2 linked regions of the Macaca mulatta genome follow. The protein of the gene in region 1 interacts with the protein of each later gene in a pairwise test. Links are inferred from orthologs where the notes say so. Each region holds a gene or a part of one and is shown on either strand. Other genes may lie near its edges. The genes, in order: TMPO and LMNB2.

The links.
Region 2: the proteins of TMPO (region 1) and LMNB2 interact in a two-hybrid assay, tested with the Homo sapiens proteins (2 studies listed by BioGRID, with this or other methods). The link is inferred for Macaca mulatta from reciprocal best matches to the Homo sapiens genes TMPO and LMNB2.

The regions. Positions count from the first base shown.
Region 1 is NC_133416.1:105,806,448-105,810,792, forward strand, and holds the start of TMPO (thymopoietin), read left to right. Parts: upstream 1-1,322; 5' UTR 1,323-1,600; coding exon 1,601-1,879; intron 1,880-4,345. UniProt on the Homo sapiens protein: May help direct the assembly of the nuclear lamina and thereby help maintain the structural organization of the nuclear envelope. Possible receptor for attachment of lamin filaments to the inner nuclear membrane.
Region 2 is NC_133424.1:3,197,266-3,201,595, reverse strand, and holds the start of LMNB2 (lamin-B2), read left to right. Parts: upstream 1-1,523; 5' UTR 1,524-1,637; coding exon 1,638-1,901; intron 1,902-4,330. UniProt on the Homo sapiens protein: Lamins are intermediate filament proteins that assemble into a filamentous meshwork, and which constitute the major components of the nuclear lamina, a fibrous layer on the nucleoplasmic side of the inner nuclear membrane.

The sequences.
Region 1 (4,345 bases):
TCATAAAAATCTACCTAACAACTTGCTAATTAAAACCTGATTTTTAATTTGCATTATTGAGCTTAATACCATTGCTTATATATGGATACTGAGATTTTTATAAACTAGTTACCTCTAGGAAAATATCACTAAAAGAAGTATCTCCTCAATTTGAACAAAAGTAAGTCGCTTAAATCATAGGAAACATTTTTAGTGAAAGCGTTTGTTTTAAATATATTCTAACCTAACAGTGTAGAAAGCAGGCAAACCAAAAAAAATGTAATCAGTTTCTAAAATATAGTTTGGAGCTCAGATTCTGGGGAAATTATTAACACATTCTTGATCCAAGGTCTCCTTTCTTTTCTAGAATCTTTAATCATACATATTCATCAGAAATACAAATATTTGTCATCAGTGATACTAATTTTCAGGCAAACATTTTAATTGCAGTCACTACCAGGTTTTAATTTGGATTAGTAATACGGGTTTGATTAGGGTTCTCGGCCTAATTATAGGTCACTAGGCTTCCTTTAGGATTACGCAACATCTGCTATTTTAAATTGACCATTGAGGGGGTTCCCAAGGGTTCGGCTTCGTTTTGTTATCAAACGTTAGTGGGATCCAAAGCCAGGATCGGTTTCAACAAAAATGCAAGCGCGAATTTGTCTTGAGTCTCAACGCACTGTTCAAATTAAACAATTTAGACATGCCCCAACTACGAGACTAAGAAGTGAACGGTATAGTACACTTTTGTCACAAATTCAAGGGTAAAGTGCCCGATGGTAGAGGTCTGGCTTCTCCCGGGTTTCTGGAACAAAAGAAGCGTTCGCGAGTAGACAGAGGGGTAACTCCCTGCCCTCCCCCTCCCAAAGTAAATCAAATCAAGGAATATGAGTGCCTGCAGACAAGTCTCGCTTCTTTTCTTCCCCTTCATGGCTAGCGTTTGGGGAAGGCAAGGCTGCGGCTACTCTTCGGTGCTTCAGTGTCCCGGGAGGAAGAAAGGCCCAGACAAGGGTCCTCACAGCCGGCGTGGAATTCGGCCGGTTCGTAGGCGATCGACCCCAGAGACGAAAGCTGCTTCTCAAGCTGGGGGAGGGAGAGGAAACGGCGCACAAAAGCAGTACGACCTGTCCCTTATCGGCGTCTAAGGGGAAGGGTGGAGAAAATGAAAACAGAAGCGGGCCGGGCGCCTCGGCTCCCGCCCCAGCGCCTTTTAAACTGCGTTTCTACCTCCTCTCGCTCAGCGCGGCGGCTAATGGAACCCGCGCGGGCCGTCCCGCCAATCACCGCCGCGCTTCCTCCCGTCGCCCGCCAATGGCGCCGCGCGTTCTTGGGGCGTGGGCGAAGCAAGCTGCTCGCCTCCTGCCTGTAGTGTGTAGGCTGGGGTTGGTGCGGGCTTCCAGCTTGGCTGCACTTCGTCCGTAGTTCGGCTCTGGGGTCTTTTGTGTCCGGGTCTGGCTTGGCTTTGTGTCCGCGAGTTTTTGCTCCGCTCCGCAGCGCTCCTACTGGGCAGGAGCCGTGAGGCTCGGAGGCGGCAGCGCGGCCCCCGGCCAGGAGCGAGCGCGCCGGCGTGAGCGGCGGCAGCGAAGGCTGCGGGGAGGGGGCTTCGCAGATCCCCGAGATGCCGGACTTCCTGGAAGACCCCTCGGTCCTGACGAAGGACAAGTTGAAGAGTGAGTTGGTCGCCAACAATGTGACGCTGCCGGCTGGGGAGCAGCGCAAAGACGTGTACGTCCAGCTCTACCTGCAGCACCTCACGGCGCGCAACCGGCCGCCGCTCGCCGCCGGCGCCAACAGCAAGGGGCCCCCGGACTTCTCCAGTGACGAGGAACGCGAGCCCACGCCGATTCTCGGCTCTGTGGCCGCCGCCGCGGGCCGGAGCCGAGCAGCCGTCGGCAGGGTAAGGACGCGGGGCCGGGGCCACAAAGGCGGGCGTTTGGCGGTTGCCGCGCGCGCTCGCCGCCGTTTGCAGCCCCTCCCTCCCGGGCGCCCCCTTGGGCCTCCCAGGTGCGGGGCTGTCCCTGCGCCCCCTCGCGTTGCCCCTTCCCCGCGGGGCTGCAGGCGCTGGAGCGGAGAGGCCAGAAGTTGGGGCACCGGGATTCGCGTTCTTTGACGTGTGTGTCTGGGAGGTGTGGAGTTGCGTTGGTGGCGGTTGTTTTGCACGCGGGCGACGCGGCTTCCCTGGACCACCAGCTGCCGGCAGCGGGCGTTTAGACGGGGACTTCCGTGGCCTTTCGAAAGCTCTGGAGGGGTGGCCCCAAAATGCTATAGGTTAAGTTCGAGCGTTTTCCCGCTTTATTAACTGAAATGACTCGCAGCAGAGTCTCACAGCGCTCCCTGGAGGGCAACTGATGACACACTAATTTCTAACCAAAATTTGAATTAAGGAAATTCCCGCCTTTTTATACTTTTGCGTATGGAGGGCTTTTTGAACCGTTTATGTTTTCTAGTTTAATTTTTCCCACCAACAGGACATCTTTTGGCGGGACGGCTTCACGCAGAATTGAAAGGAACAGTTTAAACTACATTTTAAAGCGCCTATTATAATTTTTAAATATTTATTTATTTATTTTTGAGATGGAGTTTCGCTCCTGTTGCCCAGGCTGGCGTGCAATGGCGTGATGTCGGCTCACTGCCACTTCCGCCTCCCGGGTTCAAGCGATTCTCCTGCCTCAGCCTCCCGAGTAGCTAGGATTACCGGCATGCGTCGCCACGCCCGGGTAATTTTTGTATTTTAGTAGAAACCGGGTTTCTCCATGTTGGTTAGGCCGGTCTCGAACTCCTGACCTCAGGTGGTCCACTCACCTCGGCCTCCCAAGTTCTGGGATAACAGGCGTGAGCCACCGGACCCGGCCCTATAAACAAATATTTGAAAATTACTCACAGTTTGGATTGCGTTTTTCTCCCTTACTGGTAAATTTTGCTTGAGGAAAGGAAAGAGGATTCAGGAAAAATTTATTGCATGACATTCTGGTGCAACAGTATTGCAATTTGGAATGTCTGATCCTGGTTAAATCTCAAATCGGCTCCAGCAAAGCATGTTTTGTTTGAGAATAGTTTGCTTTTTTTCCTGTGGATTTTAATATGCTTTTTGTGTGTTTGCTTATGCCTGCCGAGTTACCAGGCTTCAAGTCGTAGTAGGATGAAGCTAAAACTAGTAATTGGTGTAACATAAAATGCCTTGTAAGAGACAGTGAATGTGGTGTTTGGGGTTGTTGCGAGTTATCACTAGTGTAAACCGAAATTACTCCTTCCTTCAAAGTTTACTTTAGTTTTTAAGGAACCTGTCTAATGTGTTTTCCCAGCTACTCAGGCAAAAATGAAAGACAAATGTAATAGACACAGGTAAATTTAATTGAAAATCTTATCCTAAGTTTTAGAGAAGTTGAACGTCTTAACAAACGTCTTAAGTCCGGTGTGTGACACATAGTAGTGCAAAATAATTGTACAATAAATAAAAGACCTATCACACCTTATTGTTTCAACGTCTTGTTTTGTGGAAAGCTACTTTAATTTATTAATAAACAAATTTACTTTTGAAGTAAAGTGTGCCCTTTTACCCATTATGTTCCCCTGTTCTGAAAAAGAAGGTAGTATTTAAACTCTTTCAGTAGACGTTGGTTGAGGCCGGGCGCGGAGGCTCACTCCTGTAATCCCAGCACTTTGGGAGGTACAGGCGGGTGGATCACCCGAGGTCAGGAGTTCTAGACCAGTCTGGCCCACATGGTGAAACTACTAAAGAAAAAAAAATACAAAAATTAGCCGGGCCTGGTGGCAGGGGCCGAGGCAGGAGAATCGCTTGAACCCGGGAGGCGGAGGTTGCAGTGAACCGAGATCACGCCATCGCAGTCCAGCCTGGGGGACAGAGCGAGACTCCGTCTCAAAAAAAAAAAAAAAACAGTTGTTTGAAAATGAAATATTCAAATCCGCACACTTTATTAAAAAACCTAGTTGTTCTATAGAACCCTTTATCGGTCCTCTGTGCAAATGTATTAAACCGTGAAGTTTTTGGTTGTATGTTTATAATATAATTACTGGTTATTATTTTTAGGCAGGATCTCGCTCTGTCACCCACACCAGAGTGCAGGAGTGTGATCATAGCTTACTGCAGCCTCAAGCTCCTTGGCTCATGAGAGCCTCCTGCCTCAGCTTCCCTGAGTAGCAAGGGCAATGGGGCATACGCCACTATGCCCGGCTAGTTTTTTTATCTTTTTTTCTTTGTTTTTGTTTTGTTTTGTTTGTTTTTACACAGGCTTTCTGTGTTGTCCAGGCTGGTCTAGAACTCTTGGCCTCGAGCAATCCTGCCTCAGCCTTGGTTCCTATTTGTTTTGAGGATGATTTCTTTTACACAGAAACAACCGTCTCA
Region 2 (4,330 bases), on another chromosome or scaffold:
CCAAAGTGCTGAGATTGCAGGTGAGAGCTGCCCGCACCTGGCCTCAAACTGAACTTTAAAGGGTGCAGGTTTTCAAAAAAAAAAAAAAAACCATTCACAGCCACCAAGCCAAAGGGGCTCAGTTAACCTGATAGGGGAGTCCCCTCAAAACAGAAGGGGTTAAAACAGACCCTATGAAAAAAGTAACTTTGAATCAACCCATTGGTTTTTATTTCATATTTTTATTTTTACTTTTTTTGAGACAAAGTCTCGCTCTGTCACCCAGGCTGGAATGCAGTGATGTGATCATGGCTCACTGCAACCTTGACCTCTCTTGCTCAAGCAATCCTGCCACCTTAGCCTCCCAAATACCTAGGACTAAAGGCGCCCAGCTAATTTTTTTTTTTTTTTTTTTTTTTAAGATGGAGTCTCACTCTGTTGCCAGGCTGGAGTGCAGTGGTGCAATCTCGGCTCCCTGCAACCTCCGCCTCCCAGGTTCAAGCAATTCTCCTGCCTCAGCTTCCCGAGTAGCTGAGACTACAGGCGTGTGCCACCATGCCTGGCTAATTTTTGTATTTTTAGTAGAGACAGGGTTTCACCATATTGGTCAGGCTGGTCTCGAACTCCTGACCTCGTGATCTGCCCGGCTTGGCCTCCTAAAGTGCTGGGATACAGGTGTGAGCCACTGCACCTGGCTGTTTTTTTTTTATTTTTATTTTTAGAAATGGGGTCTTGCTATGTTGCCCAGGCTAGTCTCAAACTCCTGGGCTCAAACGATCCTCCCACCTCGGCCTCCCAAAGTGCTGGCATTACAGGCGTGAGCAAACCACTATACCTGGCCTGGCTTTTATTTTATTTATTATTTCTCCTTTCTTCAGCCTTTTCTGCTTATAATGTAGAGTGCCCATTCTCTCTGCTCAGCTCGTTTGAGTGCCTATTTCACAGATTGAATGCTGTCCCATTCATGAATTGCTAATAAGAGCCAATGAGATCATTAAACTCAATTTGTTGAAATTCATGCTCCTTGATAGCCTTCTGGACATTTTATATCAGTAGTATTGTACACTATATGGCTTTTTTTTTTGCTTTTTTATTTTTATTTTGAGACAGTTTCCCATTGTTGCCCAGGCTGGAGTGCAGTGCCACGATCTTGGCTCACTGCAACCTCCACCTCCCAAGTTCAAGCGATTCTCCTGCCTCAGCCTCCCCAGTAGCTAGGATTACAGGCATGCGCCTCCATAGTAGAGATGGTGGGGCCTCCCTATGTGGCCCAGGCTGTTCTCGAACTCCTGACCTCAAGTGATCCACCGGCCTTGGCCTCCCAAAGTGCTGGGATTACAGGCGTGAGCCACCACGCCCGGCCCTATAGGGCCTTTTGTGTCTGGTTCTTTGAGCACGTTTTGAGGTTCTCTAAGTGTGGAAACAGGCACTAAAAAGAAACAATGCTGTTTCCTCGTGGCGGAGCTGGGAGTTTGCAGCCAGGCGGTCTGTCTCTGGAGTCAGCGCCTCTGCGAAGCGGGAGCTGGACAGAGACTTCAACTTCCGGCGTGCCCCGCGCGCGCCTGGTGGCCGGACTACCAGTCCCAGGCTGCCCCGCGGCGGCGGGCGGCGGGCGCGGCGCGGCGCGGCGCCATCTTGCAGCCGGCGGCGCGGATTGAATGAGCCCGCCGAGCCCGGGCCGCCGTCGCGAGCAGCGCAGGCCGCGAGCCGCCGCCACCATGGCCACGCCGCTGCCCGGCCGCGCGGGCGGACCAGCCACGCCGCTGTCGCCCACGCGCCTGTCGCGGCTGCAGGAGAAGGAGGAGCTGCGCGAGCTCAACGACCGCCTGGCTCACTACATCGACCGCGTCCGCGCGCTGGAGCTGGAGAACGACCGGCTCCTGCTCAAGATCTCAGAGAAGGAGGAGGTGACCACGCGCGAGGTGGGCGCCGGGGCTTAGGGGTCGGGCGGGGGTGCAGCCGGCAGGCCCCGCCCACCGCGGGGCGCGCGATCTCGGGGACCCGGGGCGGGGGTGCAGACGGGGACGGGCCCCGGCTTCGGAGGTTTCCGCGGGTTTTCGGGGGGCCCCTGAGTGAGGGGTGCAGCTCGGCCAGGCCCCTCCCACCTCGGGGTGTGCGATCGCTGGGACCCTGGGTGCAGACAGGAACGGGCCCGGCTCTCGGGGGTGTCCGGGGGGTTTCGAGGGGCCCCAGAGTGAGCGGTCCAGTTCGTCCAGGCCCCGCCCACCGCGGGGTGCGTGATCGCGGGGACCCTGGGCGGGGGTGCAGACGGGGACAGGCTCTGGCTCAGGGGTCTCCAGGAGGTTTGGGGGCTCCTGAGTGAGGGGTGCTGCTCGGCTAGGCCCAGCCCACCGCGGGGCTCCCAATCGCGGGGAACCCTGAGCTGGGATGCGGACGGGGACAGTCCGGCCTCGGGGATCTCCGACGCGTTTCGGAGAGTGCCTCCTGAGCGAAGGGTGCTACTCGGCCAGGCCCCGCCCACCGCGGGGCGCGCGATCGCGGGGACTCTGAACTACTCCCGGCTCGGGGTCTCCAGGGGGTTTGGGGGGCTCCTGAATGAAGGGTGCAGGCCCTGCCCACCGCGGGGTGCGCCATCGCGGGGACCCTGGGGAGGGGTGCAGACCGGGACAGGTCCCTGCTTGGGGGTCTCCAGGGGGTTTCGAGGGGTCCTTAAGTGAGGGGTGCAGCTCGGCCAGGCCCAGCCCACCGCGGGGTACACGATCACGGAGGACCCTGAGCAGGAGTGGGGACGACCCGGCCTCGGGGATCTCCAGGAGGAGACCCTGAGTGAGGGGTGCCGCCTGGGCAGAGCCTGCTCACCGCAGTTTCCTAGATCTTGGGGGACCCCATGGGAGGGGTGCAGATGGGAATGGCCCATTCTCTCAGGGGCCCCCAGGAGTTTCCAGGGCATTGAGGGAGAAGTGCAGACCAGGAATGCCCCACCTATGGAGGGGGTCCCAGGAGATCTTCGGTGTCCTGAGTGAAGGCTGCAGAGGCGCCTCCAGCTAGCTCCGGGGACCCTTCTGTGAGAGGTGTGTTCTGGGGCCATGAGGGTTGCAGACTAGGGCTCCCCACCAAAGAGAGGTCCTGGGGATTTGGGGGCTCCCTGAGTATTGGGCTGCAGCCCACCATGTGCCTCATCCCTCAGAGGATTCCAAGGAGACTTGGTGGACCCCCGCCAACTGAGGGGGTGTGAGTGGGAGTCTCTGGGGATGAAGCTGGGTGTTGGGGCATCTGGGGGGGAATGGGGGTGGTCTCTGGGCTCTGAAGAGACTGGGGGGCCCAGGCCCTCTGAGGAGGCCCATGATGGGGTGTGTGGGGGGGTCTTCCTGGAGTCTCTGGGGTGAGTCACGTGGTCTCAGTTCTCCCTGGAGCTTTAGTGAGTTCCCTGATGAATCCAGGAGAGATTGGTGACTGGGGTGGGAATTAGGCCCCTCATCTCTCACCCGGGCGGGGGGTGGGGGATAGGGGGCCAAGGGAGAGGTTCTGATACCTTGGAGTCCCATGGGAAATTTCGCAGGCCCTTATCTGTGCCCTGGGGTCATTGGTGGCCTGGCAGGTTCTGTCCCCAAGGGAATATGAAGGAAGCGGGAGAGCTGGGGTCTTGGGTCCAGAGGAAAGTGTTGAGGTTCTGAATGGACCCCGAGGCTTCAGTGCGGACTGAAGGAGAAAGGGCTGGAAAGTCTGCCCGTCAAGGGGGCGTGAGGTCGGGGTGTCTTGGGGTCTGGGTGCCATCTGTCCTGCTCCCCAACCTAACCCTGGGGAGGCTGTTTGTCCCTCCCGCTGGCCATGCCCAATTCAAGGACAGGACTCCAGAACGGTGGGCAGGCAGGAGCACCCACTTGATTCCTGCCATGGGTTGGGGGTCCTGGGGTCCCCAGGTCCCAGCATCCTGTTGGGAGAGCCAGGTGCTGAAGTCGGGATTTGCAGCTCCCAGCCCCCACTCGCCCATCTGGAGATCAGAGGACCTGGTGGGCTTCTGGGAGAAAAGCTGCTTGTTGAGGGGGTCAGGTCGTTTCTGGGAGCCACTTACCCTCTGTGTGACCTTGGGCTAGTCCCTTACCCTCTCTGAGTCTCAGTGCCCTCGCCTTTGGAATGGGCATAATTATAATACTCAGCTCTTGTGTGTGGGGCCACAGCAGGTTAGCTTTTGTTTAGTGGCTCCCTGTGGGTTCTGCTGTCACAGTGCCCTGGGGACAGGGAACCTGAAAGAATGTAGCTGGTGCCTTCAGGGAGGTAGAAGGAAGATCAGTGCTTGGTGGGGTCCCCTGCTGTTTTTTTTTTTCCTTTTTTTTTTTTTGAGTTGGAGTCTCGCTCTGTCGTCCAGGCTGGAGTGCAGTGGTGTGATCTT